Callithrix jacchus: one gene and its partners. The protein of the gene in region 2 interacts with the protein of the main gene of each other region in a pairwise test. Links are inferred from orthologs where the notes say so. Each region holds a gene or a part of one and is shown on either strand. Other genes may lie near its edges.

Evidence for each region.
Region 1: the proteins of VAPA (region 2) and APOD interact in binary tests that used the Homo sapiens proteins (3 or more experiments, as listed by UniProt). The two-hybrid records come from large-scale screens. The link is inferred for Callithrix jacchus from reciprocal best matches to the Homo sapiens genes VAPA and APOD.
Region 3: the proteins of VAPA (region 2) and CACNG1 interact in binary tests that used the Homo sapiens proteins (3 or more experiments, as listed by UniProt). The two-hybrid records come from large-scale screens. The link is inferred for Callithrix jacchus from reciprocal best matches to the Homo sapiens genes VAPA and CACNG1.
Region 4: the proteins of VAPA (region 2) and OPRM1 interact in binary tests that used the Homo sapiens proteins (3 or more experiments, as listed by UniProt). The link is inferred for Callithrix jacchus from reciprocal best matches to the Homo sapiens genes VAPA and OPRM1.
Region 5: the proteins of VAPA (region 2) and ZBTB22 interact in binary tests that used the Homo sapiens proteins (3 or more experiments, as listed by UniProt). The two-hybrid records come from large-scale screens. The link is inferred for Callithrix jacchus from reciprocal best matches to the Homo sapiens genes VAPA and ZBTB22.
Region 6: the proteins of VAPA (region 2) and PGRMC2 interact in binary tests that used the Homo sapiens proteins (3 or more experiments, as listed by UniProt). The link is inferred for Callithrix jacchus from reciprocal best matches to the Homo sapiens genes VAPA and PGRMC2.
Region 7: the proteins of VAPA (region 2) and ADGRG7 interact in binary tests that used the Homo sapiens proteins (3 or more experiments, as listed by UniProt). The two-hybrid records come from large-scale screens. The link is inferred for Callithrix jacchus from reciprocal best matches to the Homo sapiens genes VAPA and ADGRG7.

What each region holds. Positions count from the first base shown.
Region 1 is NC_133516.1:24,485,241-24,489,232, forward strand, and holds the start of APOD (apolipoprotein D), read right to left. Parts: upstream 2,801-3,992; 5' UTR 2,780-2,800; coding exon 2,726-2,779; intron 1-2,725. UniProt on the Homo sapiens protein: APOD occurs in the macromolecular complex with lecithin-cholesterol acyltransferase. It is probably involved in the transport and binding of bilin. Appears to be able to transport a variety of ligands in a number of different contexts.
Region 2 is NC_133514.1:53,009,310-53,013,329, forward strand, and holds the start of VAPA (vesicle-associated membrane protein-associated protein A), read right to left. Parts: upstream 2,801-4,020; 5' UTR 2,539-2,800; coding exon 2,460-2,538; intron 1,868-2,459; exon of another isoform or gene 1,596-1,867; intron 1-1,595. UniProt on the Homo sapiens protein: Endoplasmic reticulum (ER)-anchored protein that mediates the formation of contact sites between the ER and endosomes via interaction with FFAT motif-containing proteins such as STARD3 or WDR44.
Region 3 is NC_133506.1:122,263,121-122,267,149, reverse strand, and holds the start of CACNG1 (voltage-dependent calcium channel gamma-1 subunit), read left to right. Parts: upstream 1-1,229; 5' UTR 1,230-1,334; coding exon 1,335-1,563; intron 1,564-4,029. UniProt on the Homo sapiens protein: Regulatory subunit of the voltage-gated calcium channel that gives rise to L-type calcium currents in skeletal muscle. Regulates channel inactivation kinetics.
Region 4 is NC_133505.1:160,798,259-160,802,382, forward strand, and holds the start of OPRM1 (mu-type opioid receptor), read left to right. Parts: upstream 1-1,324; 5' UTR 1,325-1,515; coding exon 1,516-1,805; intron 1,806-4,124. UniProt on the Homo sapiens protein: Receptor for endogenous opioids such as beta-endorphin and endomorphin. Receptor for natural and synthetic opioids including morphine, heroin, DAMGO, fentanyl, etorphine, buprenorphin and methadone.
Region 5 is NC_133505.1:41,558,128-41,562,149, forward strand, and holds the start of ZBTB22 (zinc finger and BTB domain-containing protein 22), read right to left. Parts: upstream 2,801-4,022; 5' UTR 2,598-2,800; intron 2,468-2,597; exon of another isoform or gene 2,373-2,467; intron 1,721-2,372; 5' UTR 1,652-1,720; coding exon 1-1,651. Other genes in the region: DAXX (death domain-associated protein 6), read right to left, coding at 3,448-3,507, 3,706-3,928. UniProt on the Homo sapiens protein: May be involved in transcriptional regulation.
Region 6 is NC_133504.1:69,042,121-69,046,244, reverse strand, and holds the start of PGRMC2 (membrane-associated progesterone receptor component 2), read right to left. Parts: upstream 2,801-4,124; 5' UTR 2,777-2,800; coding exon 2,359-2,776; intron 1-2,358. UniProt on the Homo sapiens protein: Required for the maintenance of uterine histoarchitecture and normal female reproductive lifespan. May serve as a universal non-classical progesterone receptor in the uterus.
Region 7 is NC_133516.1:91,826,522-91,830,021, reverse strand, and holds part of ADGRG7 (adhesion G-protein coupled receptor G7), read right to left. Parts: intron 1,170-3,500; coding exon 826-1,169; intron 106-825; coding exon 9-105; intron 1-8. UniProt on the Homo sapiens protein: Orphan receptor.

The DNA of each region.
Region 1 (3,992 bases), on a different chromosome or scaffold from region 2:
TTCTTTACCTCTGTAGGAGGATTTCAGAACAAACCCCCTTGATTGCCTGTCTTCCAAAGAAGCCTCTTCGTTGCAGTAGTTTTATTCCTGTGGTTAAAACTCCTTGTGAGAGAAGGGTGGACGGCATCCATTACATTTTTCAATGCCCTCTCATTTTAACTTACTCATTACTTATTGAGCATGTTATTAATGTGCACTTAAGACTTTGGGGAACATATGGATTCTATATGATATATATTTTTGCATCTTATTCTGCTATCAATAGGGAGATTGCTCTAATTAGGAGTTTAAATACTTTACAAAACAAGCGTATTTAAATATTATTATTATTACTATGTTTGAGAAGGAGTCTCGCTCTGTTGCCCAGGCTGGAGTGCAGTGGCGTGATCTCAGCTCACTGCAACCTCCACCTCCCGGGTTCAAGGGATTCTCCTGTCTCAGCCTCCCGAGTAGCTGGGACTACAGTCATGTGCCACCATACCCAGCTATTTTTTTGTATTTTTAGTAGAGACAGGGTTTCGTCATGCTAGCCAGGATGGTTTCCATTTCCTGACCTCGTGATCCACCTGCCTCAGCCTCCCAAAGTGCTGGGATTACAGGCATAAGCCACCACGCCAGGCTAAATATTATTTTTGGCCGGGCACAACTTACGCCTGTAATCCCAGCACTTTGGGAAGCCAAGACGGGTGGATCACTTGAGGTCAGGAGTTTGAGACCAGCTGGGCCAACATGGTAAAACCCTGTCTCTATTAAAAATACAAAAATTATGCCTGGAACAATGGCTCATATCTGTAATCCTAGCACTTTGGGAGGCCGAGCTGGGTGGATCACCTGAGGTCAAGAGTTCGAGACTAGCCCGGCCAACATGGCGAAACCCAATCTCTACTAAAAATACAAAAAATTATCTGGGCATGGTGGTGGACGCCTGTAATCCCAGCTACTCAGGAGGCTGAAACAGGAGAATCACTTGAACCCCGGAGGCGGAGGTCACAGTGAGCCGAGATCACACCATTGCACTCTAGCCTGGGCAACAGAGCAAAACTCTGTCTCAAAAAACAAATCAAAAACAAACAAACAAAAAATACAAAAATCAGCCCAGCGTGGTGGTGTGGGCCTGTAATCCCAGCCTCTCAGGAGGCTGAGGGACGAGAATGGTTTGAACTTGGGAGGCAGAGGTTGCAGTGAGCTGAGATCGTGCCGCTGTATTCTAGCCTGGGTGACAGAGCAAGACTCCGTCTCAAAAATAAAACAAAATAAATATATATAATTATTAACTGAATATGAGGTAATTTCAAAGCAATCCTACTAAGGTTACAGTGCATCCACCTTGGGCCTGGCACTAACTGTAAATCACTGCTCTGCATGTACTGGGTGGATCACCTGAGGTCCTGGCCTCAGGACTTTAAGTGTGCTATGCACTCAGTCTCCACAGCACCTCCTCTGGAAGCTGGTAGGGACAAGCTGCCCCTGAAAACCCCCTCCACACAGCTGACCTCCCACTCTGATTGCTCAGCAGCTGCATTCCTATCTGGTGCCACAGCAAGGCTGCCAGACATACTACGATTGAGATTGAGCAAAGCCTGATTACAGCCACTTGGGCAGCGCGGAGTGAGTGGAGGAGGTCGTGGAAAACAAACCTTTGTTTAAATTCCTGTTTTACACATACCTGTAAAATCCTGTTTTTTTAAAAAATTGCTGCCACAAAAATCACAGGACGGTGTATTATAAGTGTGTCACAAGCTAAAAAACTATCTTTGCGTTTGTTACAAGCTGATAAATTACCTTGGTCCTGAAACTCCCTTATGCCCCTCTCACCCCATACAAACCCCTTGTTTTGTGGGCTTGGGGCTGCCTCTTCTGATTGTTACGTAACAGCCTGGCAGGGTTATAAAACTTGCTGGCCTGATATCGGGTCTACTCTCCTTTCTCTCGGCTAACCTTACGCAAGTGACCTCTGCTGACACTCTTTGTACCAATGAGATCAATTTGTCCTGGTTACTTCCTGATAAACTTCCAAGCCGGAGCGTAAGTCTAGGTCCCCCAAGAGCCCATGTTCTCAGTGCCCATGTGGACAGAGCCCCTGATCTCAAAGGTCTGCAGAACATGAAGGACTAGATTTTGAAATTTCACCTCATAAAATAAAATATGTTCCAATAAGTAATTAGGTCTCAAAGACTCATTTAGCCATTAAACAGAACAAGAAACGTATCTCCCAAACGCAGTATCGTATGCCATATTGTTAAATGCATTTTCTAGTCACACAATTAATTCCAGTTTCCAGATTATTCTACTGTGATGCACAGTTGGACAACTCACTGAGAATTCACTTAGCACAGTGTTTGTGCATGGAAAAATTCCTTGCTGTCCAACAAGGTTTGCTTTGTATTTTTAGTAGAGACGGGGTTTCACCACGTTAGCCAGGATGGTCTTGATCTCCTGACTTTGTGATCTGCCCGCCTCAGCCTCCCAAAGTACTGGGATTACAGGCGTGAGCCACCGTACCCACGTTTTTATCATAGGCCTGTTACTTAGTGTATCTGAACCTCAGTTTTATCATCTGAAAAATGGCTCTAATGATACCTGCCTTGGACATTGGTTGGAGGAAAAATGAGAACAAGTCTAAAGCTACCAACACAAGCTCTCAATCAGTGGCAATTATATGCAGCTGAAAAGGGCCTATGGAAGTTTCTATTTTAGGCATTATCATAATTGAAACGGTTAAAACCACAGTACGTACCTTTTCTGTCAAGATGAAGGCAGTATCCACATGCAAAATCATCCAATTTGAGATGACTGTCTTGATGACTGGCCTCTCCCAAGCTATTTTATAAGCTTCATTGGGTCTTTGATGTTTACTTTTCATGGGTGCCACACCCCCTACAGCCAGGAGGGCTGGCCTAAAAGCTTAGTCTGTATAAAACAAACACAAAGATGGGATGTTGTGTCCATCCTCCTCCCCCAATTTCTTTCACAGCTGCTCCCTGGAGAAGAAATGAGATATTGTTTTCGTGTGTGTGTGTGTTCGAGAAAGAGAGAGAGTATGTGTGAGAGAGAGACAAAGTGTGTTTTCATTCAAAATATTTCTTTTTTGCTGTGTGGATTTTCTAATTTATTTATTTATTTATTTGTTTAGGTGCAGAATGCACTTCAAAGTTCCAGCAGGACATGTGGCAATGTTTCAAACATCTGGTATTTATTTTCATTTTTGCTTAAATGAAAAATCAACAAGCTCATTTCCTGAAGTGGAACACGACTCTGACGTGGCTCAGGTAATGGAGCAAGAGTTACGAGTCAGAGCCGGCTTTCTCCAGGGTCCTGGGTGGCCCCCTGACTTCTCTGAGCCACAGTCTCCTCGTTGTAAACAGGGGCTGTCATTTCTGTCTCCACCAGAGCTGGATGTGTAGAGGAGACGCCAGTTCTCTAACAGCTGGGGCTAAAAGTTGAGAACGCAGAAGATGTCTTCTGCCGCTCTGTTCTCTGGCCCTTTAGGATCCTCCCAGCCACCTGTTCAAGACAATCTGTCACTGCTTGGGAGTGGGGGTTGGGGTGGGGTGGGGAGTGTGGACTTAAACCCAGGGATGCTTTTGGTCCAGCCTTATCTCTCCTTGTGGAATGAACAACTTTGACTCTTGTGAACGAGATTCTATGCCTTTGTGATAGGCAGGAGGTATTTTTAGAGACATTTAGATAAGGCAGTACCTTTGTAGTAGACTTAGACTCCTACATAAAATTCATTCTAAAATATGTAAGCAGCAGAGGTAAATGTACAGCACTGAGCCTACACACAGGCAAACATCAGCAGCAGGTCCCTAACATCCCAAACATTGTGAGCGCTTTCTTTGAGATGTTCTTTAGCTTTTCAGAAAGATAAGAAATTCTTATTTCTTCCCAGGGCCTGCCTCTTGCTATCCTCATGGAATGCCTTCCCCTCAGAACTCTGCGTAGCTCCCTTCTTCTCTCCTGATCCCTGTTCAAACAGCACTTTTCCCTAA
Region 2 (4,020 bases):
ATACGAAGGTTTCCATCAAAGCAAACAATTTGCCTTTGACTAAAACAATATTAAAAAGGAATCAAACACCAAATGTCACCTCCCAATCCTCCCCATTATCTGTATCTTTAAAGTGAAACACACAATGAACTATTGGGCATTTAAGTACCAGGCATTTTCTCACAACAGTTTGTTTACTCAACCACTCTCTGGGCTTAAACCTTCCCTGAAATGAAAAACAAGCCTTTTCGTTAAAGGCTTCCTAAGGGAGGGATGGATGGGGCACGTAGAGAAAGGGCTTCTTTCCTCAGACAGGATTGTGTCTCTCTTACACCATTTGTACATTTTCTCTTTTTCCCTTACTAGTCTTATCATTTGTACTGGCAACACAAGAACAATGTGTTCCATAATCATAGCTATAATTCTCCAATACCCCCAAAGAAGGAAATATATGAGTAAGTCACTGTGTAGGGTTTTTGGTTGTTTTTTTTTAAACCTGCTTCTCCACTATTACTAGTCTCTTACTAAAGCAACGTAACAACTTCCCCAAGGAGAAACCTTCAAACTCTGTGGACATTTCATGGCCTAAAACTGGTTGTCAAGGCTTGTAAGCACCTAACGGCAATTTACACAGTTATCCAGTAGAGGAAACGTTCACTGTAAACACAGCCAGTCAAAAGATAAAAACGAAATACACACACACACACACACACACACACACATCATAGAGGTTTACATTCAATTATCTCAAGATTATGGCTGAGTTAGGACATTTCACGATTCCTCAAAGGTTTTCCCCCAGCTAAAACTATGTAAAATCACACAACATACATTAACTTGCAATAAAATACATTCACTGCACCTTGTCTTAAAACCAAATCCTTACCCAACAAGTAGCTCACTCACTTTTCTATTCAATAGGCCGGGCGTGGTGGCTCACGCCTGTAATCCAAGCACTTTGGAGGCCAAGGCGGGCGGATCACCTGAGGTCGGGAGTTCAAGACCAGCCTAACCAACATGGTGAAACCCCGTCTTTATTTAAAAAAAAAAAAAAAGAAAGAAAGAAAAGAAATTTGTAAATGCACTAAAAAACTTGCAATGCAGTTATCCAATATTAATCTCGTAATTTCAGAATATATTTTAAATTCCTAAAACTAAAGTTTTTCCTGTGGAAAACAATGTAGTTGGGATTTCTCGTTACACAACAATAAAGGATTTCACTGTTTCTTTTAGCACTAGAATTGCTATACACCTCACAAAAATTGTTCTCATTCAACAAACTGAACTACAAGACACTGACTTCCAAAAGGGGACTCACTTTACACTTAACTAAAGATAGGAAGGAACCTTTCTATTAGATGTTCACACTCTTTCAGTATTCCTTAAGTACAAGAAAAAAACAAAAACCTGTCCAGTTTCTAACTCTCTTTCCTAAAGTACACCTTATATTGACAAGCAAACGGATCAAACAGCCCCTGGGATTGTTCCAGTATCACCAAGTCAGACTGAAAACTTATCACCGGCAGTGCTACAAAATAAACCTACAAAGTTCCAGAGCTGGCTGACCTTAGCCTTCTCAGGGTCTGTAGGAAACCGCAAACGTAAAGGCAAAAGTCACACGTACTGAAGGCTTCTCAGCAGAGGAGCTCAACTGAAGGGCTAAATAAGAGCAAGCACGCGGGTGGCACACTGAAATGTCGTAGAAGGCAGGAAGCCCCGCTACTATGAACCTACAACTCTGCTTTCGCGGCTGACGCATCGCTCCTGCCCGCACGCGCTTGGGGCCGTGCCAAGAGCACCGGGCAGCCCTCGCCAGGCACCTCCCGGGCTCCTCCGCCTCCCCAGCGCGCCCTACACCTGACAGCCGAGTTCTAAACAGGGAGGAAAGGTGAGGAGAGACGCCCTCCGCGGAGCCCTAGTCCGGCTGCACCCAACTCTCCCCGGGCCGGGGCCAGAGTCGGGAGACGGCTCTCACTCCCGAGGGGTCCCGCGCCACTGACAGCGGGAACCGGAGACGGACGCAGCTTGCGCCACCTCCAGAGCCCACTCCCCGCCGCAGCCCCTACCGCACGCCCGCGGGTGCCCACCCACCCACGCCCCGCTGAAGCACGCCGTCGGCCTCAGGAGCCAAGGACTTGGGCCCCGGCCGACGGCGGCGCGGGCGGGACCGAACACCCGGGTGGCGCCCCCGCGGGACCGCAAGATGGCGGCGGCGGCGCCAGGGCCCGGCTCCCCTCCGCCTCGCCTGGGCCGGCGCGCGCACTGCAGCGCGGGCGGGCGAAAGGGAAAGAAGCCAGCCTGAGAGCCGGGCAGGCAGGCAGAGGCCGCGGCGAGGCAGCAGCCGGGAAAGGGCAGGCGCCCGGGCGTGGGGGAGGGGGCGCTCCCTCGGGCCGCGGCCGCCGACGTGCTCTCCGCGCCCCCCGCCGCCGACAGCCGTCCGCGTGCCCCATCCCGCCCGGGGGTGTCCCCATCCTGCCTACCTTTGAATTTGAGGTCTGTGGGCGGGTCGAGGACCAAGATCTGCTCATGCTTCGCCATGGCCCCGGAGGCGGACGCCATCGGAGAGACAGCGCAGAGCGGGGGCGCGCCCGCGGCGACGGTTTGCTGGCTGGGGGCGGGGAACGACGGTGGTGCCCGCTCGGCCAACCTCTAGGACGGAGCCAGGCTCGCCGCTTCCGAGCCCTGACGCCTGCCGCTGTGTCGCGGGTACGGTGGGCCACCCGCTGGGTCAGCAGCTCCGGATCTCACAACTGACTCAACCCCACACCAGCCGCCACGGCCACGCGCACTGCGATCTTCGGCGCCCCACGTGATGGTCTCTGCGTTGCCTACGTGCGCGCCCCGGCGACCGAGAGCCCCTCGCGCTCGTCCCGCCCTCCAGGCCTACCTAACGCGGCGCCGGGCTACTGCGCCTGCGCGCTGAGGGCTCGCCGCGGCTCCAAGCGCAGCCCAGCTGTCAAGGGAACGGGTGTGGAAAGAGGCGGGGCAAAGGCCCGCGGGACCGACGCGATGCGCAGCCGCAGGCTTGAGGCGCAGTCCTCTGTCACGTTGAGCTACGAGTACGAAACTAGAGAACCTGCTCTGGCAGCGCATCACGGTCTTCCAAGTGGGAATGCCTAGGGAGGAGTAGTGGGGAAGCGCCCACTCACTACAACTCCCAGCATGCCCCTTGTGGGGCGGGGCCTTCGCCGAGGGCCTGGTACTTCGCGGTGCTTGCTGGGAAGTGTAGTAGTGGCTGTTTGTGGGCGGGAAGGTGAGCGAGGTCCTTTTGAGGCGAATGGGGTGGGGTTCGCGGACGCTAATTTTGGCTCAGAGCACGTCTAGTTTGCGCTAAAAAGGAAAAAACTTTTGAAGGCGGAAACGAGTTCCCAATGTTAGAAATATACTGATAAAATCTGCCCTGTGGAGAACAGGCGGGGATGTGTCCGTTTGCTCTGTAATTCTATCCATCCCTCTGTTGGCAAGACTGCATTCCCTGTAATGATCCCATCCAGCCTCTCCTGCTTCCTGAGTTCTCTCCAGTGATGCAAAATCAGATAAGGAAGCACACCCCGTCTAGGAAGCAAACGAGTCGCAGGGGAAATATGACAAAGCACACAAAAGCTAGAAACAAAAGTCAAAATCTACACCATCGAGCCTACGAATCTTCAGTTTTGATTAATGATGGACCCAAACCAACACAGTTGTCACGTTCACATGTTACAAAAGAAATCCATCTGCATCACTTATGATAGGCTGTAGTAAACTGAACCAAATGAGAAAAATCCCAGCAGCAAAGTTGCTGACAAATCTTTAGCCGATTGCCAAGGTAATCCGGTACAGGAACGTCAAATGAAGCGAATGTGCTGTAAATAAACCTTTATTGTATTGTATGATACTGTCTGAATTTAAATATCTAGGAAGCGCCACAAAATAAAAGACATATTGATTGATGCTACTGCCGTAAAGCAGCACAGTTTGTCTAGAAAATAAATGAGACAAAACAGCAGTCAAGACGCAGGCACCAAGTTTTCATGTGCAATCCAGGTATCAGAGTCCACC
Region 3 (4,029 bases), on a different chromosome or scaffold from region 2:
GTTTCTGTCCACATGGGGAGAGTCTCTGTAAACCGTGTCAATCTGAGGCCAGGATTTTGAAGCTCAAGGCCCCACCCAGCTTAGGAAGCTATTCCTGGTCATGCATCAGCCTCTCGGCTAGACCCAAAAAGGGCTACCCGGTAAGCTGAGAAAGAAGAGATGGCACAACCTGGCACAACCTGGAGGGATGTAGGGGCCAGAGCCTTGGGGATCCCTGCAGGGCAGCCAGGCACACAGGACCCTGGGAGGGCGCTCAGTTCCAGGCTTTCTGTGTTCTCTGCCATATCTAAGCACTCACGAGCCTCCTAATTATCCCCCGTAAATCAACCTATTTGTTCTTTTTTACTCACACCCTTATTTTGCAAATTAAATAAGTGTGTTCAAATTAAATAAAAATCATTATCACCTGCTGTTAATAGAGGCAAAACCAAACACAGTACCCTGAAAACAGAACGACCAAGTCCAACGAGATTCCTTGTCCTCTTCAGGCCATTCTCTCTTGGTTTCGGAGGACACTCTGTGGGCAGTACAGACACTGACCCCAAATGCAGCTTTGCTCTGGACCCAGTTCCGGGTATGGAAAGAGAATTGAGAAGGAAGTGATGTTCTCATGAAGGGGTCAGAGTCGGGAAAGGCCAGGCCTGGGAAACACCAATAATCTTCCCACGGTTTGGGGGAGGCCATGGATTTTGTGGCTAAAACACTCCCCAAGAGGTGGACTCCAGAGGCCCTGGACGGGTTCCCTGGGATGTCCCTAAACAGTCCTAGTCTCCCCAGATCCCAGGATGAGGACCTACTCACTGCCCTGCTGGTGACAGACTTGCCCTGTGGGAGCCCGGGAGAGCCAGGCAGCCTGCAGCTCTGGTCTCCTCCCCTGCCCTGGGATGCCCTTTCCCAGCAGCCCAGAGCAGGCAGGTCCCCACCCCCAGCCCCTGCTGCCCACCCCCTCCCAACTCAGACACCTTGAGCTGCTACTCCACAGAGGCCTCAATCCACCACCCAGAGCCTTCTCTCCTTGCCCCCCTACCAGGGTACTTCTGGCTCCCAAAGGAAGAAACCCCTGAAACCTGAGCAGAAGCTGTCCTCGGTGCCACGCCTGGAGACGGTCATTAATAGCAGCCTCCCTCAGGCCCCTGATTCGTCTGGACAGCTGCTCAGCATGTCCAGCGTCCCTCAGCCCCAAGCCCAGCCCACTCTGGCTCAGCCAGGCCACACTAAACTTAGTGGCCACTCCCAGCTTGACAGCCACTGCCACCCCCCAGCTCGGCTGTCACCTGCCCTAGGAGACACAGCCGCCGGACCCTGCCCAGGGCACCCACGCCTCGGCGACCACCATGTCCCAGACCAAAACGCTGAAGGTCCGTGTGACCCTCTTCTGCATCCTGGCGGGCATCGTGCTGGCCACAACAGCCGTGGTAACCGACCACTGGGCTGTGCTGAGCCCCCACCTGGAGCACCACAACACCACCTGCGAGGCGGCCCACTTCGGCCTCTGGCGGATCTGTACCAAGCGCATCCCCATGGACGACAGCAAGATGTGCGGGCCCATCACCCTGCCCGGGGGTAATGTACCCAGCATCCCTCCCAATCCCCACTTCCTGCCCTTTCCCATCTTTCCCCAACAAAGTTACCCACACGAAGCAAGGCAGGTTTCTCTGCCTAGAACAGGGCAGCCGCCCAGCCCTTTCTGCCCAGGGAAGAAGATCCGACTCGCATGTGCTGTGCTGGTGGCCGGAGCTGGGTTGTAAGACGAGGGCGTTTGTCCCAGCTATTTCTGTCTGGCTGGACCTTGGGGCTTTTTGTCCAGAGCAGACATCTGAGCAGGCTCAAGAAAGGGACTGTGGCTCTACCAGCCCGGGGGCTTCTGGGCCCCACCTGATCACTCCCTCCCTGCCAAGACAGGCTGAGTGGCTCTGTGTGCTCAGACTCGTGGAACCTATCAGGCTGGCAGGTTCGTTCCTGGACTTAAGGCAGGAGAGTAGACTGGACAGGTGAATTTGCAGGGTCCTGTGCTGAATGAAAGTGCAGGGTTCCCTGCTCCAAATTACCGAGGATTTCAAGGCAGTGACAGCGAGGCATGAAACCAAGCATGGACCCTTGAGGGCCCTGGGCCTAGGGCAGCTGCACAGGTTGAATGTCTATGAAGCAGGACATGGCTGTGGGTGAGCCGCCTGCCCCCTACCTTTTCTTGAGACAGAGTTGCACTCTGTTCCCTGTGCTGGAGTACGATGGTGCAATCTCGGCTCACTGCAACTTCTGCCTCCTGGGATCAAGCTAGTCTCCTGCCTCAGCTTCCCCAGTAGCTGGGATTGCAGGCATGCGCCACCATACCCATCTAACTTTTGTATTTTTAGTAGAGACGGGGTTTTGCCATGTTGGCCAGGCTGGTCTTGAACTCCTGACTGCAAGCAATCCGCCCACCTCGGCCTCCCACAGTGCTGGGATTAGGCATGAGCCGCCGTGCCCAGCCTCCACCCCCACTTTTGTCAGGACTTCAGTCCTCTGTGCCTCCTCTCTTAGCTCAGACCCTATCAGCATTTTAAAAGACCATGTCAAAGCATTTTCCTCATCCTGTCATTTAAGCATATTCCTCAATTTCCTACCATGTGACCAAACCACATGTCGAAGGTAAGCTCTTTTTCAGGAGTACCTGGTATTTGTGTGGCTAACCTCTATTCTGCAAATGCAGAGGCCTCTGGATTCTTAGCAAATACAGCACTTCTTTAGAGGAAAGAGGGCTACATGGAGACCAGGCGGCCAGGAATCATCACCATTGCCTACCACGCTCCAAATGACTCTCCAGGGAGGACAAAGCTCAACTCAGCCTCAGCTTCTTCCTCTATAAAATATGGGACTGACTCTCAACAACATAAGATCCCTTCCCAGGCTGAGGGACACCCATCCATGGTGGCAGTGGAGCAGGGTGATGTCAGTGTGATGTCCCACCTGGCTTTCAGGATTATTCCGTCTTTTATCAGACTGGATGTTCCTTGAAACCTGTCCTTCAAGGACACTAAGGCTGAGTCCCCAAAGATCTTGCAGTCTGTTTGTGGGTCAGAGAGCCCAGACCCCATCCTCCCATGTCTCTGCTCCCTCTTCCTTCCCTCCTGCTTGCTCCAGAGATCCCCTCCCTTGCTTACCCCAACTGGGTGCCCAGAAGACTCGTAAGTACCCAGCTGTTGTAGAAACACCAAGTCCCAGTGCTTGAGGGTGACAGGTGTGAGCATGTGCTGGCAGGGTATTGCATAGCTGGGATGCCCATGTCCCTTGACCACTGCGAAGCACACCCATAAACAGGCACAGCCTCCAGCCTACTCCCCTGGGTGGGGCAGGGCAGGGCAGGGCGAGGTAGCTTCTACAGGGACCACACATGGGGACGTGCTGTTACAGTCCTGTTCACCCATCTCTGGAACCATCTGACTTTTAAAGTCAGAGAAGAGGGCTGGGCAGTGAACAGAGTCCACACAAGGAAGAGACAGGCTGGTGAGAGGTGACTGGACCAATCACAGGGGGTGACAGGCTGGGGAGACGTTAGTGGACCAATCACAGGGGGCAACAGGCTGGCAAGAGGCGATTGGACCAATCACAAGGGACCAACAGGCTAGTTAGAGGTGAGTGGACCAATCATAGGGGGCCAACAGGCTGGTGAGAGATGACTGGACCAATCACAGGGGGGCAGCATGCTGGTGAGAGGTGACTGGACCAATCGCAGTCACTGGAACCAATGCTAGTCACTGGAACCAATGCTAGTCACTGGAGCCAACAGGCATTGCTTGAGCTTGAGCCTGACCAGGATCTACCTCTTTGACTTCTTAGCCTAACCAGCCATGAACCATACCTCCCACGCTTGTGACACGGAGCACTACCTTTCCCCCAGTAATCTTCCAAAGTATGTTCCTGCCTTTTTCCCTCTCTTTTCTGTGCAAATGGACATCTTTCTCTTTCCCTATCTGCCCTTCTTGTGTTCCCTGGGACCACTCTTCTCTAGAGGGAGGAAGTGAGTTCATATGTGGCTTCTCAATTAACAAC
Region 4 (4,124 bases), on a different chromosome or scaffold from region 2:
CATTAGCAAAATAGCCTATGATTAATCGAGTTTACCTATGAGTTACCTGTTTCTAAGCTAAATGCCTAAAAATAATAGTGGAATTAAATATTCCTTTCAAGGTCTTCCCTCCATGCTTCCCAAGAGTGCAGTTCGCTTTTCAAGACCAACTGGGAATATGTATTTTCAATGTATATGGTTAAAAGATAGACACATGCACAAATATAGACACATACAGAAATGAGAATTACTTCAGAATTGGTGTTAACTTTACAAAAAAAGAACTTACTCTTTGAATTTACAAATTTCTTTATAAAATAGAAGCACTGGTGGACTTCTAATTTATAAACAAATTTGTAAATACAAAGAGTAAGTTCTTTTTTGATACCTCACTTCTAAAGTAAGGTATAAAATTCAAAAACGTATCCATGCTTCTCAAGGATTTTATTGTAGGCCACTCTAATTCCATATGCTATGTGGCTCTTCCTAGACTTTCTACACTAGCAAACAGACTGAATGCAAATTTTGTTTGGTGTTAACAACCTTCTTCTCAGAAGCATATGCTTATCGAGAAAGTCTGGGGTTAACAAGGATAAATAATTCCAAACAGGTCTATGAGATTTAAGATGTGAAAGATCAACATTATCTTTAGCTGATTTTACTGGATGCCACAAACTTCTGATTTCCGTAACCAGTTCTTGTTCCTCTTCTCCACTAAGACAAAATCAGAGGCAAACAGAACTTCACCCTAAGAGAAACTGGGGAAAGCGGGGAACAGGTTTTCTCCGCAAAAGTTTATTTGTTTCTCATTTCTTTTTCAGAAAATAGAGGATCGCTGTTGTTTCCAGCAGGTTGGTTGGGAAGAAAATTGGAAAAACATTATTACCGTTTCTTAGATGTTAGCAACAAGGACTGCAAAAGAAGATTGTGTGTCCCCTACTCTCAAATAGTCAAAATTGTCAGTAGGGATGAAAGAGCATTGGGGTTTCAGGGTTGTTAGGGTTTCATCAAGCCAATGTATTCCCTGCCAGATTATAAGGAGAAAAAAGAGCTGGAAAATAGAGTGATGTTAGCCCCCTTTCTTATTTTCACTGCTGCCAAAAACTAACTCTGTCTCTCTCCCCAGTCCTTCTCTCTCTCTCCCTCCCTTAGATGTGTTTGCACGGAAGAGTGTCCAGTGAGGAGACCGATTCCTTGGATCGCTTTGCGCAAAATCCACCCCTTTTCTCTCCTCCCTCCCCTCCAGCCTCCAAATCCCTCTTGGCCCACCCTCCCCTCCCGCAGCCGCCTGGGGTCGGGGATGAGCCTCCGTGAACTACTAAGGTGGGAGGGGGCTATAGGCAGAGGAGAATGTCAGATGCTCAGCTCGGTCCCCTCCGCCTGACGCTCCTCTCTGGCTCCGCCAGGACTGGCCTCTGTAAGAAATAGCAAGAGCTGTGGCAGCGGCGAAAGGAAGCAGCTGAGGCGCTTGGAACCCGAAAAGTCCTAGTGCTCCTGGCTACCTCGCACCGCAGTGCCCGGCCGACCGTCAGCACCATGGACAGCAGCGCAGTCCCCGCGAATGCCGGCAATTGCACTGATCCCTTGGCGCCCTCAACTTGCTCCCCAGCGCCCAGCCCTGGTTCCTGGGTCAACTTGTCCCACTTAGATGGCAACCTGTCCGACCCCTGCGGTCCGAACCGCACCGACCTGGGAGGGAGCGACAGCCCTTGCCCTCCGACTGGCAGCCCCTCCATGATCACGGCCATCACCATCATGGCCCTCTACTCCATCGTGTGCGTGGTGGGGCTCTTCGGAAACTTCCTGGTCATGTATGTGATTGTCAGGTAAGGAAGGGGCTCCAAGTGGAGGATTCAGAGGCTCATGGGGGTACAAAGAGACACCTGACCCCCAGGGCTCAATCTTGGGCGGGAGGATGAAAGAGGGGAGGTAAACCGGGGAAACTCTAGAGGCGACCATGGACAGTGATTGCTACTTCTGTATTTCCCCAATTGCTACAGAAATACTCCAAAATTTCAGAAGCAGAGAAGTTGCTTTGGTAAAAGCTACAAAGGTCTAGGGGTGGGGGTGAAGATAAGTGTAGACTTAGAGCTCTTCCTTATTCTGAGCAAAGAGGGCTCTTGTCAGAGTCCTACACTCAGTCCCTCTGCAGGAGCTATGGAAAGAGTAAGTTGTGAAAAATGACAGAGAAATTCTAGAAATTCTAGTTAGCTTTCCCAAATTTGGTTGAGGGGCGGGTTGGAGTGGGTGGTAGGTTGCAAGTCTTCTCAGTTGTTTTGAGATGAACCCTGGCAACTTTCCTACTTCTGCTGGTTCAGTACTTCCCTGTACCACAACCCCACCCTTCCTCCTCCCCTGCTGTAGCAGCCCTTAACTAACTCTTCCTTTCATCCTGAGGCAACACTAGATAAAGGAAGTTTTCCTGGCATCTCTCCATGGTAGTTTTGCTCTTTTATAACAAACATGACAGCTGTGTTGCTTAGATTAGTTTGCTGTTGGTAGCTTCAGATCGCCTAAGTCACAAACTGCATCTGGAATGGGTAGGATGGTTCAGGAGAACCGCAGGGCATGGCTGTATTTCAATGCCTCCACAAGTTGGAGTTAATTAGGAGTCACCAAAAGCACCATAATTCCACATTAGAAACTACAGAAACTCTCATACAGGAAGTTGTGATGGTGCTGTAAACAAAGTGTTCTTATCAGGTAAAATTAATTCAAAAGAATTGTGGTCCACTTTCTGTTTACCTAGATGTTCCACCTATATTTGGCAGAGTGTGCAAGCTCTCAATATTGATTGTGATTGATGCTGATTGTGTTGGTGTTTACCTGTATATTCAAATACTACATGTGAATGTGAAATGGCATGTATCTGTTTTTGTTAAAGAAGAATAATATTTTAACACTTTAAAATGGTTCCTAGATAGATGTTTTTTGTTTTTTGTTTTTAACCAGGGGTATGTGTATGTAGAGAACATGGCATTTTCACTTTTAGTTACAATATTTGTTTCACCTATTCAGCAAGTATTGCAGGTTTGAGAGGAGCTCTTAAATCATTTAACAATTGCTCTCCCTGGTATGCTTTTATTACCAAGATGCTGCAAATTGCTTGTAAGCAATTCTTTCCACTCATGTGTCTGATTTCTTTAATTAATGATTTTTAAAGAATAAAACTAATTTCTCTGATCTTTTCATGAGGAATAAGATAAGTATTGTCTCTGAGAAAAGAGCACCATCTATTGAGAGGAAGGCTAACAACAGAAGGAAAAATGTGAGAAGATAAATGGAAGAATTTATTTTTAAAAACATTTACTTTAAGTAATTAAATACAATGATTCACATTAAAGATTAAAAACCAAGTCTCACTCTGCAGTTATGATGACAAAGTTATAATTAAAGGCCTGCTTTGTGAAAAGAAAATATATTTCTCATTTGTTCTATAAGAATTTCATAGAATCATAAACTAATCAAGGTACAAGGGACTCTAGAAATTATGTGTGCTAAGTAAACTGAGGAACAGAACATGTAAATGATTTTCTCCAAGAACAGATAGTTCATTAATTCATTGCCATTGAATCTTTCCCAGCTAATGTAATTTTGAGTTTATTATGCTGGCAAATCATGATTTGAGTTAATTCAACTATTAGGTTGACAGAGTGGATTGATATAGCAATAATAACTTGGGAATAGCAAATGATCCCCAAATTCTGTATGGAATCCTGGAGGGAAAAAGCATGAAACAGAAATTACCAAAGCATCTAGGAATCCTGCCATCAGAAACATAATATTTTATTCCTTTTTATTGCTTCTCCTTGGTATTTTCCTTCCTCATTTTTCTCCTCATTAATTTATGCTTTCATATACAGAGAGAGCCAATAGACTGGCAACTGGCTGTGAAATGAGCAGATAGGTCTTCTTCCAGTATAGAAGAGATTTGGGTGAGTTAGTTTTAAAGGCATTACCTCTGGCCTCTTGTTGACTTGGAGAAAGATGGTGACAGTGCATCTTACTGAGAACATGATATTATGCTTTATTCTCAGTACTGAAAGTTCTTACAAAATACAGTACTATTTGAAAGGTCATCCCAGACACCCACCTGTGGCAGACTGGGTTTGAATTGCAGGGTCAGGTAATCCTCTCAGAATGTG
Region 5 (4,022 bases), on a different chromosome or scaffold from region 2:
GCCACATGAACTTCTTGGCGCAGACACCGCACTCATAGGGCTTGAGACCTGTGTGCGTCTTCATGTGCTCAGTCAGATGGTGCTTCATCTTGAACTTTTTGTTGCACACGGGGCAGTCAAAGGGCCGCAGATTGAGGTGCATGTTCACGTGCCGGTCCCGCATGCTCTTGTGGGAGAAGGCCTTCCCACAATGGCACAGAAAGATCTTATTCCCATCCCCACTACCAGTCCCTCCAGGAACCCCACCAGCGCTACCAGGGACCCCCAGGCCTCCCACGGACGTGCCCCCCAGGGTCACTGCCCCGTGTTCTACTTGGTTCCCTGGTGGTTGGCCAGGAGCCTGTGAGGAGGATGAAGACGATGGGAAGACCAGGATCTGGTTGCCCTGCATGTCCAAGGGAAGGAGCGGTCGAGGAGCGTGGGAGGGGGCATAGGAAGAGGGAGTTGGCCCCCCTGAGTCATCAAGACCTGCTCCAGGACCCCCACCCTCATAGGGGCCAAAGTCATTGGAGGACTCACAGAAGTTGACCTGCTCCTCCCCCTTGTCTGGGGGCTCACTCAGGGTACGGACATCACTTATGCTGAGGGTAGCCTCAGGCCCTCCCCCAGCTGGAACCCTGGAGCTACCCCCTAGCTCTTCATCTTCATCATCCTCACAGGTCAACACCAGGTCTTCCTCCTCTTCTTCCTCCTCCAGATCTGGGTCTTGGGGAACCAGGGGTGCTGGTGCTGGGCAATTACCACCTCGCTTCACATATACCCAGTGTTTCTGTGGCATGATGCTAGGGGGTGTGTAGGTGGGTCTCCTGAGCCCAGTCCCAGGGACCACTGCCCCCCTTCCATCCCCACCGTCATCGCACAGTTCATCTGCCTCCAGCAGCAGCTTCCCAGAGGTGGCGCCCCCACTGCCAACGACAGGGGCTGGGAATACAGGGCCACCTCCTCGACGCTCCCCACTGCCCACTGCAGAAGCTGCAAATGCCTCTTGGGAGGAAGATGAGAAATCAGTGGACTCCCTGGGGCTGAAGTAGTTGCTGCTGCTGGGAGACTGATTCTCACTGGCTCGGCTGGAGGCATGGGAGCGCACAGAGCCCATGGTAGAAGGGACCACAGTGCCCCCACTCCCGGATGGGACCCCAGCACCAGGGACAGTGACAGAGGTGGCTGCAGCAGTAGTGACGGTGGTGGTAGCTGAAGCCCGGCCTTCTCGGAGTAGTTCAGTGCACTTGTCCACAATGTGCCACATTTGGAGCACAGACCCCACCGTGAGGAAGTTGACAATGTCAGCAGCAGCCATGCTAAGGCGGCCAGTGTAAGCGGAAGCTAGGACAGTCTCGAAGGCGCCTGGGTCCATGACACTGGGCAGCGAGATGGAGGTCATGCCCTTGAGTAGGACCTGATCATGGAAGTAAGGGGAGGAGGCAGCCAGCACAGCCCGATGAGCCCGGAACTCCCGGCCCTGTACTCGGATAGACACATCACAGAGCTGGCCCTGAAGACGCTGCTGATTGAGGGACTCCAGGAGGGCACTGGTCACCTCAGGGAAGGACACATGTACCACTGCAGCTGCTGGCAGGGGTAGTGGGGGTGGAGCCAGCGACAGCGGCAGGGGGAGTGCTGCCCCACTGGGAGACAGAGGAGATGGCTCCATGTTGTGGAGGGAGGGGATACCCCCCCAGCCACAGGTACAAAGGAAGGAGGAGGGCGGCCGGGGGGGTCTCTGGGAAGAAAGAGAGAAAATAATAATGATAAATCTCATAATGACACAGCCAGTTTACACTCATTATCTGCGTAATTCCCCACAACCGTGTGGTATTACTCTCAACCCCATTTAACAGAGGAGGAAACTAAGGCTCAGAAAGATTAAGAGATTATTCAAGGTCACACAGTCAGTAAGTGGCGGCGCTAGCAAACACAAGTATCTGACAAATCCTGAGCCCTTTCCTTGGAGATTATAGAGAAAGAAGGCGCTCTTAGGGGCTGGTGTGCCTTCTTCGGAATTATACCCTATTTCCCATTTACCTGAGCGCCTGACATTCCAAAATCTACCTTTTTGGCGTTTGTACCCATTTTTTGGGAGGGGGCAGGGCAGCTCCTCTACTGAAAACCAACCCTCTGTTCAATCTCCCCCTCAGGCTATGCCCCCCAGCTCTCTCGCCGACCACGCCCCCTTTCGCCCCAGCTCCTACCTAGCCCCGCCCCTTTCCAGGCTCGCCCCGTGCCCCGCCCACTTTCGGGCCTTTCGACCCCGCCCCTTGTCTAACCTCCGCCCACACCGGACCCCGCCCCCCCCCCCCGCTCCGCCCCAGGCGCTACCTCGGCCTCTTCTCCCACCCGGAAGGCGCCCCCCAACCTCGCGCGTCCCCGCTTACCGGGCCGCGCGCCCCCGGGCCCCCCCCGCCCCTCACTCGGCGGCCAGAGCTGCAGCCTGAGCCCCTCCCGCCGCCATCTTGCGCCGACTCCCTCCGCCCTCCGCCTCCGCTCCGCCTCCCGCCCCTCCGACTTTAAAGGCACAGCCGGGCACCCCGCCCGCGCCGCTGGGCAATACTCGGCCGACTCGGCCACTTTGCCTTTAAAGAACCGTCGCCTCATTCCACCTTAAAGGATCAGGTCCCCTCCTCCGCTGGGAACTCAGGACTTGGTTCGGCCGAAGCATTTATTCCCCTTTAAAGCTACAAGCCTGCCTTTTCCCATTGGCGACGGGTCCAGGCACCGTTCCCCAGGCTCCGCCTCTGAGCTGTGACCATTAGCTGGTTGGTGAGATCTAATCGCCTCCTTCCTAGCTCCTGACATTTCCCCTGAAGCCCCGCCCCCCGTCTCCGGGCCTGGATTGGCCGAATAACCTTGAGTCGGTCTCTCATTGGCTTTTTCACTCCAACTGCAAGAACTGAAAAAGTAAAGTGCGTTAAGGCGGCTGAAGCACTTTAAAAAAAAAAAGTACAGCCTGAAAAACATGGCGAAACCCCGTATCTACAAAAACTACAAACGACAAAAATTAGCAAAGTGTGGTGGCGCGTGCCTGTAGTCCCAGCTACTGGGGAGGCTGAGGCATTATCACTTGAGACCGGGAAGTCCAGGCTGCAGTGAGCTGTGATCACACCACTGCACTCTGGCCTGGGTGATAAGATGAGACACAAAAAAAGAAAGAAAAAAAAAGACCAGGTTAGAAAGGACAGATCAGGACTACCCCGGGAACATCGGGCAAACCATGAGCAAGGAAAGGGACAGCTAATGCCAATCCATGACCACAGAAGGAAAAGACAGTGATACAATAAGAAAAGAAGTTTATTGTTTATTAATGTTTCTGTGTAAAACTTAAGTTTTTTTTTTTTAAAAGAAACACCAACAGGGGATTAGCTCAGTCCATCCTTTGCTCAGTCATCTGCTTCCCACCATCCTCCAAATGCTATCCCAAAACATTTTGGAGGCAGGGAGAAGGGGAGGCAGCTAATCAGAGTCTGAAAGCACGATGATCTCCTCTGGATCACACTGTGTGGCCACACTCGTCTGCAGGGAAGTGAGAGACAGAGTCAGAGAGATATGGAGTACAGGGGAAAAGAAACAGACAGGAGGATTTAGAGGATAAAACGTAGGTGGGAAAAAGCGAGACAGAGAATGTGGAGGGTGAAATATTCAGACAGAGCAGCTGAAACAGACAATGAAAGAGAACAAATTATCAGAGGAAACCCAGCCTCCCCTTCTTACCTTGTAAGTACCAGGCTGGGGAGGTTGTGACTGGGGGGTTTGGGACAGCCGGGCTGGAGAAGGGACGCAGAGGGAGCTGGTCACAAGGCCATGGCTGGGAGAGTCTACCCTTGTGGAGGAATCAGCAACCGGGGCCAAGGAAGCCAAGGGGGAAGGTGGGCTGGGCAGGGTACATATCTTTTTCCCATTCTTCTCATGCACTGACCTTCGCCTTTCCACATAGCTAGGAACAGAAACATAAATATGTGGAGGGGTACAGGAAGACTGAGGCTGGAGGGAAACAGTCCAGTCTCTCCCAACAGACTCAGTTCCCCCAT
Region 6 (4,124 bases), on a different chromosome or scaffold from region 2:
TAGAATAACTGGATATCACTTTCAGGCTGTTAATCAGAACAGTAACTGGCAGAAACTAATCTAAAACTGACTTCTCCATGGTAATCTCAGGAGCCTCCCTCAATGCATATACAAAAGCAATCTACTACCTATGACTCTTAAACATTTTTTTTTTTTTTTTGATACGGCGTCTCACTCTGTTGCCCAAGCTGGAGTGCAATGGCGCAATCATGGCTCACTGCAACCCTCATCTCCCAGGTTCAAGCAATTCTCCCTGTCTTTGCCTTCTGAGTAGCTGGGATTACAGGCACCCACCACCAGGCCTGGCTAATTCTTTTGTATTTTCAGTAGAGACAGGGTTTCCCCATGTTGGCCAGGCTGGTTTCGAACTCCTGACCTCTGGTGATCCGCCTGCCTCGGCCTCCTAAAGTGCTGGGATTACAGGCATAAGCCACTGTGCCCGGCTTTAATTTTTAATTTCTATCACAGAACAAACATTTGCCACTGGAGACTGCCAAACTGTTTCTATGACTGTCTCTCCTAGCTATTTTCAGATACTGCCAAGGCATAATGTGTGAGGACTAATAAGATTCTTTGTACTAATATGCTTTGTTTTCTTCAGTGGCAGTTCAGACAGAGGGTACAAAAGCTGATCTTTTAGCTGGTTCAAGTCTATATTAAAAATTTAAACCTGTACAGGATTTCTAATCACTCAACACTCATTTTCCAATGGGAAAGAAGCTTGCACTAGGTATAAAATGGTGTGTAAATCCTTGATTTAAAAAAGAATTTACTTAATTTGGCTTGTTTAAATATTGTACTTTGGCCCTAGTCTCTTGTCCCACGTGTGCTTAAGTAAACAAAAATGTATTAACCATTTCAGCTGCTATAAATAGCTAGGCATCTTGTGTTCACATTTATATAATCAGAAGCAAAAACTGTGTAAGCTATGTATTTACTTGGTTGGATTGAATGTGTGTGTGTGTATATGTACATATATATACACAAACAGACAACTATGAAATAAATTACATAATTCACACCAAAAATCTCCTATTTCTTATCCCTATTCCAATGAACAAACTACAAACCAAAGCACTTCTAAACTATCTTCCAGCTACGAAGCACTGAAACCAGAAGTACATATTCGTATGTGTCAATAAATCTCATAAACTCACAGATTAAATGAAGGAGAAAACCAGCTTATTTCCAGACTGCCAACCCTATGATTTTAAGGCTTGCATGTACTCTCTCCAATAACAGGTCACTTTAGGTCTCTAATTTAATTATTTATTCTTATTGTATGTTGCTTAGTATGTTGCTCAATTGCATGATATACTAACAGGTTCCATGAGTCTGGAGTTTATTAGCATAACCCAAAATGTATGCTACAACCACACTGTAAAAGAAGGCCTTCTAAATCAACTACCCTACACACAGTTCTCTGAAAACAAAGTTCTAAAAATCTTTAACTTGCATAGTACATGGTGGGTATGAATCTATAGGTCTTCTAAGCTTTTTCTTCCCAGTTCTGCTAAGTGAAAACACAAGTCATTATCAACGTGTACTTGAAAAGAGGAAAAAAAAGAAACCAGAGACATGCCTTCTGGGTATAAGAGCTCCACCCCCAAACCTCAGGGCGAATATCCTTACCAGTCTTATAATAAGGTCTGCATTCTGGTCTGTCCTCATCTGACATACCTCTTTAATCATGGAAAGCATCTCCGAACTAAAACTGGTTTAAAGAGTCCGAGGTGTTGCTTATACGCCCGGACTTCAGAGACTGGAGGGTTGGGATTTTACATGACCCTAAACGTGGCCTTACGGAGAGTAACAGAGAGAGGGAAAAAGGAGATCAGTGGCAAAAAAAAAAAAAAAAAAAAAAAAAAAAAGAGAGAGAGAGAAAGGAAAAAAAGCTGTGAATTACAGAGCCTAAAACTTTAGTTTAGGTCCCAACTTCAGAAATCTCCCTTCCCTGCTGCCCCACCCATCCCAGAAATCAGGAGACTCAGGAAAGGTTTAGGGACAGCATTGACTGGTGACAACTAAAGGGATTTAAAAAAATCCAGCCAGAAAAACAACAACAACAACAAAAAAGACTGCGAGGAGAAATGGGATGGAAAAAAGATGAAAGCTGGTCGCTGGGGCGCCACCAGGGACCCCTGGTTTCGCGGCAAGAGCTGGAGGTGTACGCAACTCGGGGGAGGTGTGTGTGTGTGTAGGGGCGGCCCGGGCCGTCCCAGGTGCGGCAGCCGAGGCGCGGGGGTTCAGGCGACGAGAAGGCTGGGCAAACTAACCCGGTGCCCAGAGGCCTCCCCGTCCGAAGGGGGTCGTGCTTGAGCTGCAGGGGGTCCTTCCCCTCCCCTTCCAACTCCTCACCCGGGCCGTAGAACTTGCTGCCTTTGGTCACGTCGAAGACTTTCCCATTGACCGCGAGCAGGATGCGCGGGTTGCGGGACCCATCGTATTGGCGCAGCTGCTCCAAGCTGAAGTCCCGCTTCTTCATGCGAGGCAGAGAGGCGGCGGGGCTCTCCTCGCCCGCCCCGGCCCCCGCCCCCAGACCCCGCCGCCCCCAGCGCACCCACAGCCGGTAGGCCCCCAGCAGCACCAGCGCCACCAGCGCCACGTTCAGCAGCATCTCCCCGCCCCCCGTCAGAAGAGCCAACGCCGCCGCCGCCCAGCCGCCCCCTTCCGCTGCCGCTCCCGCGCCGCCCGGGCTCTCGCTGCTGCCGTCGCTGCTGCTCTCGCTGCCACTCCCCAGGGTGCCTAGCTTCAAGTCCCCATCACCCGCCGCCATCACTGCCCGCCAGCGCCTTCCTCCTCCTCCCCGCCCCCTGCCCTCCCCAACCCCACGGCCGGCCCCGCCCACCATGGAGCCTCTCAGCCAATAACATGAGGAGAGGGGGGCGGGGTCAGGCAGGATCCCGATTGGGTGTTGACGGGGTAACGTTGTCTCGGATCTCTCCCGCCCCCTCCCTTCGGTCGCAGGCCGCGCTCCTGTGCGACGCCCCGCCTACCCGCCCCACACTTCCCTGCTCTCGCTCCTAGCCTCCCCTAGGTGAAGTAGAAGAAGGGGGCGGGTCTGAAGAAAAGATGCTACGACGGCAGCGCGCGCACGCTCATGGGCGGGGCGAGACCACAACGCGTGCGCAAGCTCTGGAGCGCCACGCGCTCTCTTCTCTGTAACCCCTGCGGGACGTACGCCCCGCCCAGTCTCCTGTCTCTGCGCGTGCGCCCCAGAATCGCTTTCCTTCCCAGGGCTGAGTTTGCCTCTGCAAACTCTTGCTTTCTTGCGCGGGCCCCGCCCGGGAGCTTCACGTGCGCGTTGGCTGGACGCCTAGCGAAGGGCGCGGGCAGGTGGTTTGTGGGAGGCTCGGGCACAGTTGAACTGCAAGGCGCAAACCGATGAGGGGCATCTGCTTTTCCCCAGTGCGCCGTCGCTCTTATCGGGAAACCGGCAGCGTGGGCGCGCAGACCAGGAAACGGCGAGAAGTTTTGGCGACGAGCTGGAGTTTTTCAGGAACGGAGAGAAAGCGCAGAGCCCGCACCGGGCTCCTCTTACATCGGCAGTCTACGTGCTGCTCACGCTGGCTCGCTGCTCTTTTGGAATTTTAAAGGATTTAGACGAAGGGTCTCATTATTCCTTGAATCATAATTTCTGCGGCCATAGGGAAGGGGACAGGTTGAGGTGGTCTATTTATCATTCATGCTTATTTTCAGCTTTTGTTTTATGTACTTGGGAAGTCTTTTTAACCTGTCACATCTTAAAAATTCCAGTGTGAAAGTGACCCCTGAAGCCTCATGCACTCAACTCTTTTGACGTGTTCTCTCTTGCCCTTGTCTCTTGTCTTGACTGTTTGAACCTTTCACTGTCGGTTTTGGAGGAGCCACTGTGGATATTGACGGGGCAAGTGACAGGGTCGACACTCTTGTAGAGAGATTATATAGCAACCAGGTGTCTGAAGGATTAGAGGCAGGGGAAAGAGTGGGAAAGCAGTTAGTAGACTAGGGTATTTGTGCGTGAGGTGAGATGCAGAGCTAGTGGAGGCATTAGAGCAGGGGTTGGCAAACATTTTTTGTAAAGATCCAGATTATATTTTAAGTGTGTCTAAACTACTCAGCTCTACCTTGTAATGAGAATGCAG
Region 7 (3,500 bases), on a different chromosome or scaffold from region 2:
AAACTCACATTTCCTCTTGCCGGTATTCTAATTCCCATTGTGGATTCTTTTCATTCTGAGAATAAACAACTCCCACTGTTATAGCCACTACTACAGCCGGGACTCCTATGTGATAAAGAGAGGCATGGAATTAATACTTTATCCAGACGTGGATTAATTATGAAAGACCATACATGAATTATACATCAGACCTTCTTCAGGATATATGTTGTTTTCACTACGGACATAACACAGTGATCCTACATATGTAGGTCGACAGTGGACATAATTTTCCTCCAAGTGTTTTCCTTTCCCTTTTAGTGATGGCTCTACAGATCAATCCTATTTCCGGTTTCTTTGTAACTCTTACCACTATTTTCACTTTTAGTGGCATAGTTTCCCTGTCACTTGAATAAATTTAAATTTAGATATACCTAAAGCAAGTCTTCCTTTGCTGGAACGCAACAAATTTTTCACATATTTGTGCTTAAAGGATCACTCTGATTGTCTTTCTGGAAACATTTCCTTTAAAGTAGCTGGAAGTTAATCATTTGTGGCCTAAATCTTAAATCAAATTAATAAAAAGAGATAAGGAAATTAACAATTTCATGTTAGTTACATCAGTTTATGCTGTATCTCGTATTCTTGCCTTGATCCCATCTGCCTCCTTCACTGGAGTATAAGCTACTAGATGGAAAGTATTCTCAGCAATCACTGCATTTTTTTTTCTACCTCCTCTTAATTACGTCAAGGCCCTGGACTATTAGACCTTCTATAAGTGTTGGTTTAAATTAAATGATTTCCGCAAAATTAAATTCCTGAGAAAGGGGAGATACAAACACTTACCCCATCCAATTAATGAGATAAAAAGAATGAAATGCCGAGGAAGAGGCTTCATGGTCCTTATTAGAAGGAAATAGAGCTGTGCAGCGCTGAGTGCATTCCAGGTAAATGTCACTAACAGGAAATAGTGCAGTAAGGCAGCAATCGCAGTGCAGGTGGGATTCGGGGTGTTAACGGTGTCTGTCTGGGGTATGACATTATCATTAAAGTCCATATTTTCGATGTCACCGCTTGTCTTCAAGTTCTTATTTGAGTTTTCAATTCCAAACACAAAGAGGAGGTTGAAAATCAACATTGATATGCACAGACTGACCAACACCCAGGTTACTGAGGTTTTTCTGACTTTCCTGAAAATAAATAAATAAATATAAAAAATTAAATGAAACAAAACAACTGCACAAAACAGACATTAGTGAAATTTCTAGGGAACAAAGACTATTGTTGTCCAATATAAGTTCAGTTCATCGCCCAGTGGGGACAGCTGGTAAATCCATCTTCTCAATTACATCAGAAAATATGCTCTCCTCTTACCATTTCCACAGTCATGAGTTAAAGGAAACAGGTTGATGTATCTTTTCTTGAAACTGTGTTCTAATCAAAAGTGATAGCTAATCTCCAAAGATGGCTCTCAGTGAACCTACTTCCTGGTAGGTGCGCTGTGTGTAGTTCCTTCACAGAGGCCTGGCCTGTTCATTGATTTAACTGATAGGATGCAACAAAAGGTCTGGCAGCCAAGGCCAACTTGTCCTTTAACACAATATTGCTTCGTGTTTGTAACCCATAGTAATGTATTGCCTTCTTTTAGGCATAGAATAAAAAAGAGGACTCTTCTCAAAGAATATTAATATATTCATCTTTGCACCAATTGAACCATAAAATATTATTTTTAATCTTTCATTAATAAAATGAAAGGTTCCACAAAGGCACAAGTGCCTGGGGACCATAAAAGTCACAACATGGCCCTCCTGGTGAGACACACAAGTGTAAAGGGGTCTCGGGAGAACCTCCAGCTGACCTGCATACTCGGGAGAACCGGCAAGAGCTGTGGGAAGTTCGCGCCCTTTGCAGCGGGGAAGAGCCTGGCCTCTCCTCTTCCGGGGTGAGAACCCAGGACTCATCTGTGTGGGGGTGAGGGGCAAGGAGCCTACTAGCAGAACTCGCACTGTGCTGAGAGTTCCTGTTTCCCTTTTTCTTCCTTTTCATCCAATAAACCCTGTCCTTCTTACCCTCCAAAGTGTCTGCGAGCCTAGTATTTCATGATCATATGACGAGAACCCAGCTTTTAGCTGAACTACAACAGTGATATAGGAGAAAGTCCTACAACACTGGCAGCTTCTCCTTTTGTGCTCCTGGGAGTTCTGAGTCACTGTGTAAAAAGCCCAGCCACCTTGCTGAAAAAACTGCATGCAAGCCCTCTGAGGCTGTACGGAGTGGGAGAAAGATCCAGCTGCCCCAGCATCCGAGGTGAGCCTCCAGATGACTCTGGCCCAGCTGCCATCTGACTGCAAGACTCCAGCAAAAGCAGTAGAAAAATCTCCCAGCTGAGCCCATACAAGCCACAAAATCATTAGAAATAATAACTGTTCCTATCCACTGAGTTTTGGGGCAGTTTTTTATACAGCACGAGGTAGTAAGTTCTACCCTAGATTTGTGAGCTTATATGAAAGCCATCTGTAGAAGAGGCCTTATATGGATTTTTTAAATTTTTGTAATAGAAAATTCTGCACATTAGTAGATGAACTCATGTTTAAATGTAGAGAAAAAGTCTCTTGAGTTTTTCCATGTAATTTACCTTTAAAACTCAAAATACGATTTCAACGTACCATATTTTCAATTTACAATTAGTTTATTGGGATACAATCCTACCATAAATCAAGAAACTTCGTGAATGCTGTCACTTTCACACCATCTTAAAGCTGAAAAATTGTAAGTTGAACTGTGGTCAATAGAGGACTGCCTGTATTCTGTGCATTATTATTATATGGGAACCTGTCCGTATACAAAGAAAATTTTATAGATCAGGATTTTAAAATCAATAAAATGTCTTCATTTTTGTTTTGTGTTTTCTCTCTTTTTAAAAAGCTTTTTTGAGATGTGATCTTGCTGCATTGCCCAGGCTGGTCTCAAACTCCTGAGCTCAAACAATCCTCCTGCCTTGGCCTCCCCAAGTGCTGGGATTACAGGTGTGAGCCTTCGGGTCTGGGTTTTATTTTTGTTTTTGTTTCCTGATGAATTTTAGTGGCATCTATGGTTGCATAATTGCGCTAGAAAACAAACTGATAAAGGAGGAAAAATATCTGATGACAAATGAGAGGAGTGAGCTTTGAACAAAGAAACTGGTTAGGCAGCAGCTCTGACTCATCCCTATGGGACCAAGTAATTGTCAGTACAACTGTGATGATGGTAGAAATAGAAAGAATGAGATAATACAAGAGGCGTTTAATTTTACATGACAAATATGTCGTTACATGGCATATAATTTTCCTTCAAGGAGCTTACCACAATATGTAACTATATACTCATTTGTGTATATATTTTCATAATGTCTGCCTTCTCCCCCCAACAATGTATATTTCATAAGAGATAGGAGATTGTTCATAGTTTTGTATTCAGCTCCTTACATCATAAGCATTCGCTATAAAATTTTTAAATGAATGGCAAGAGACTCATTTAATGTG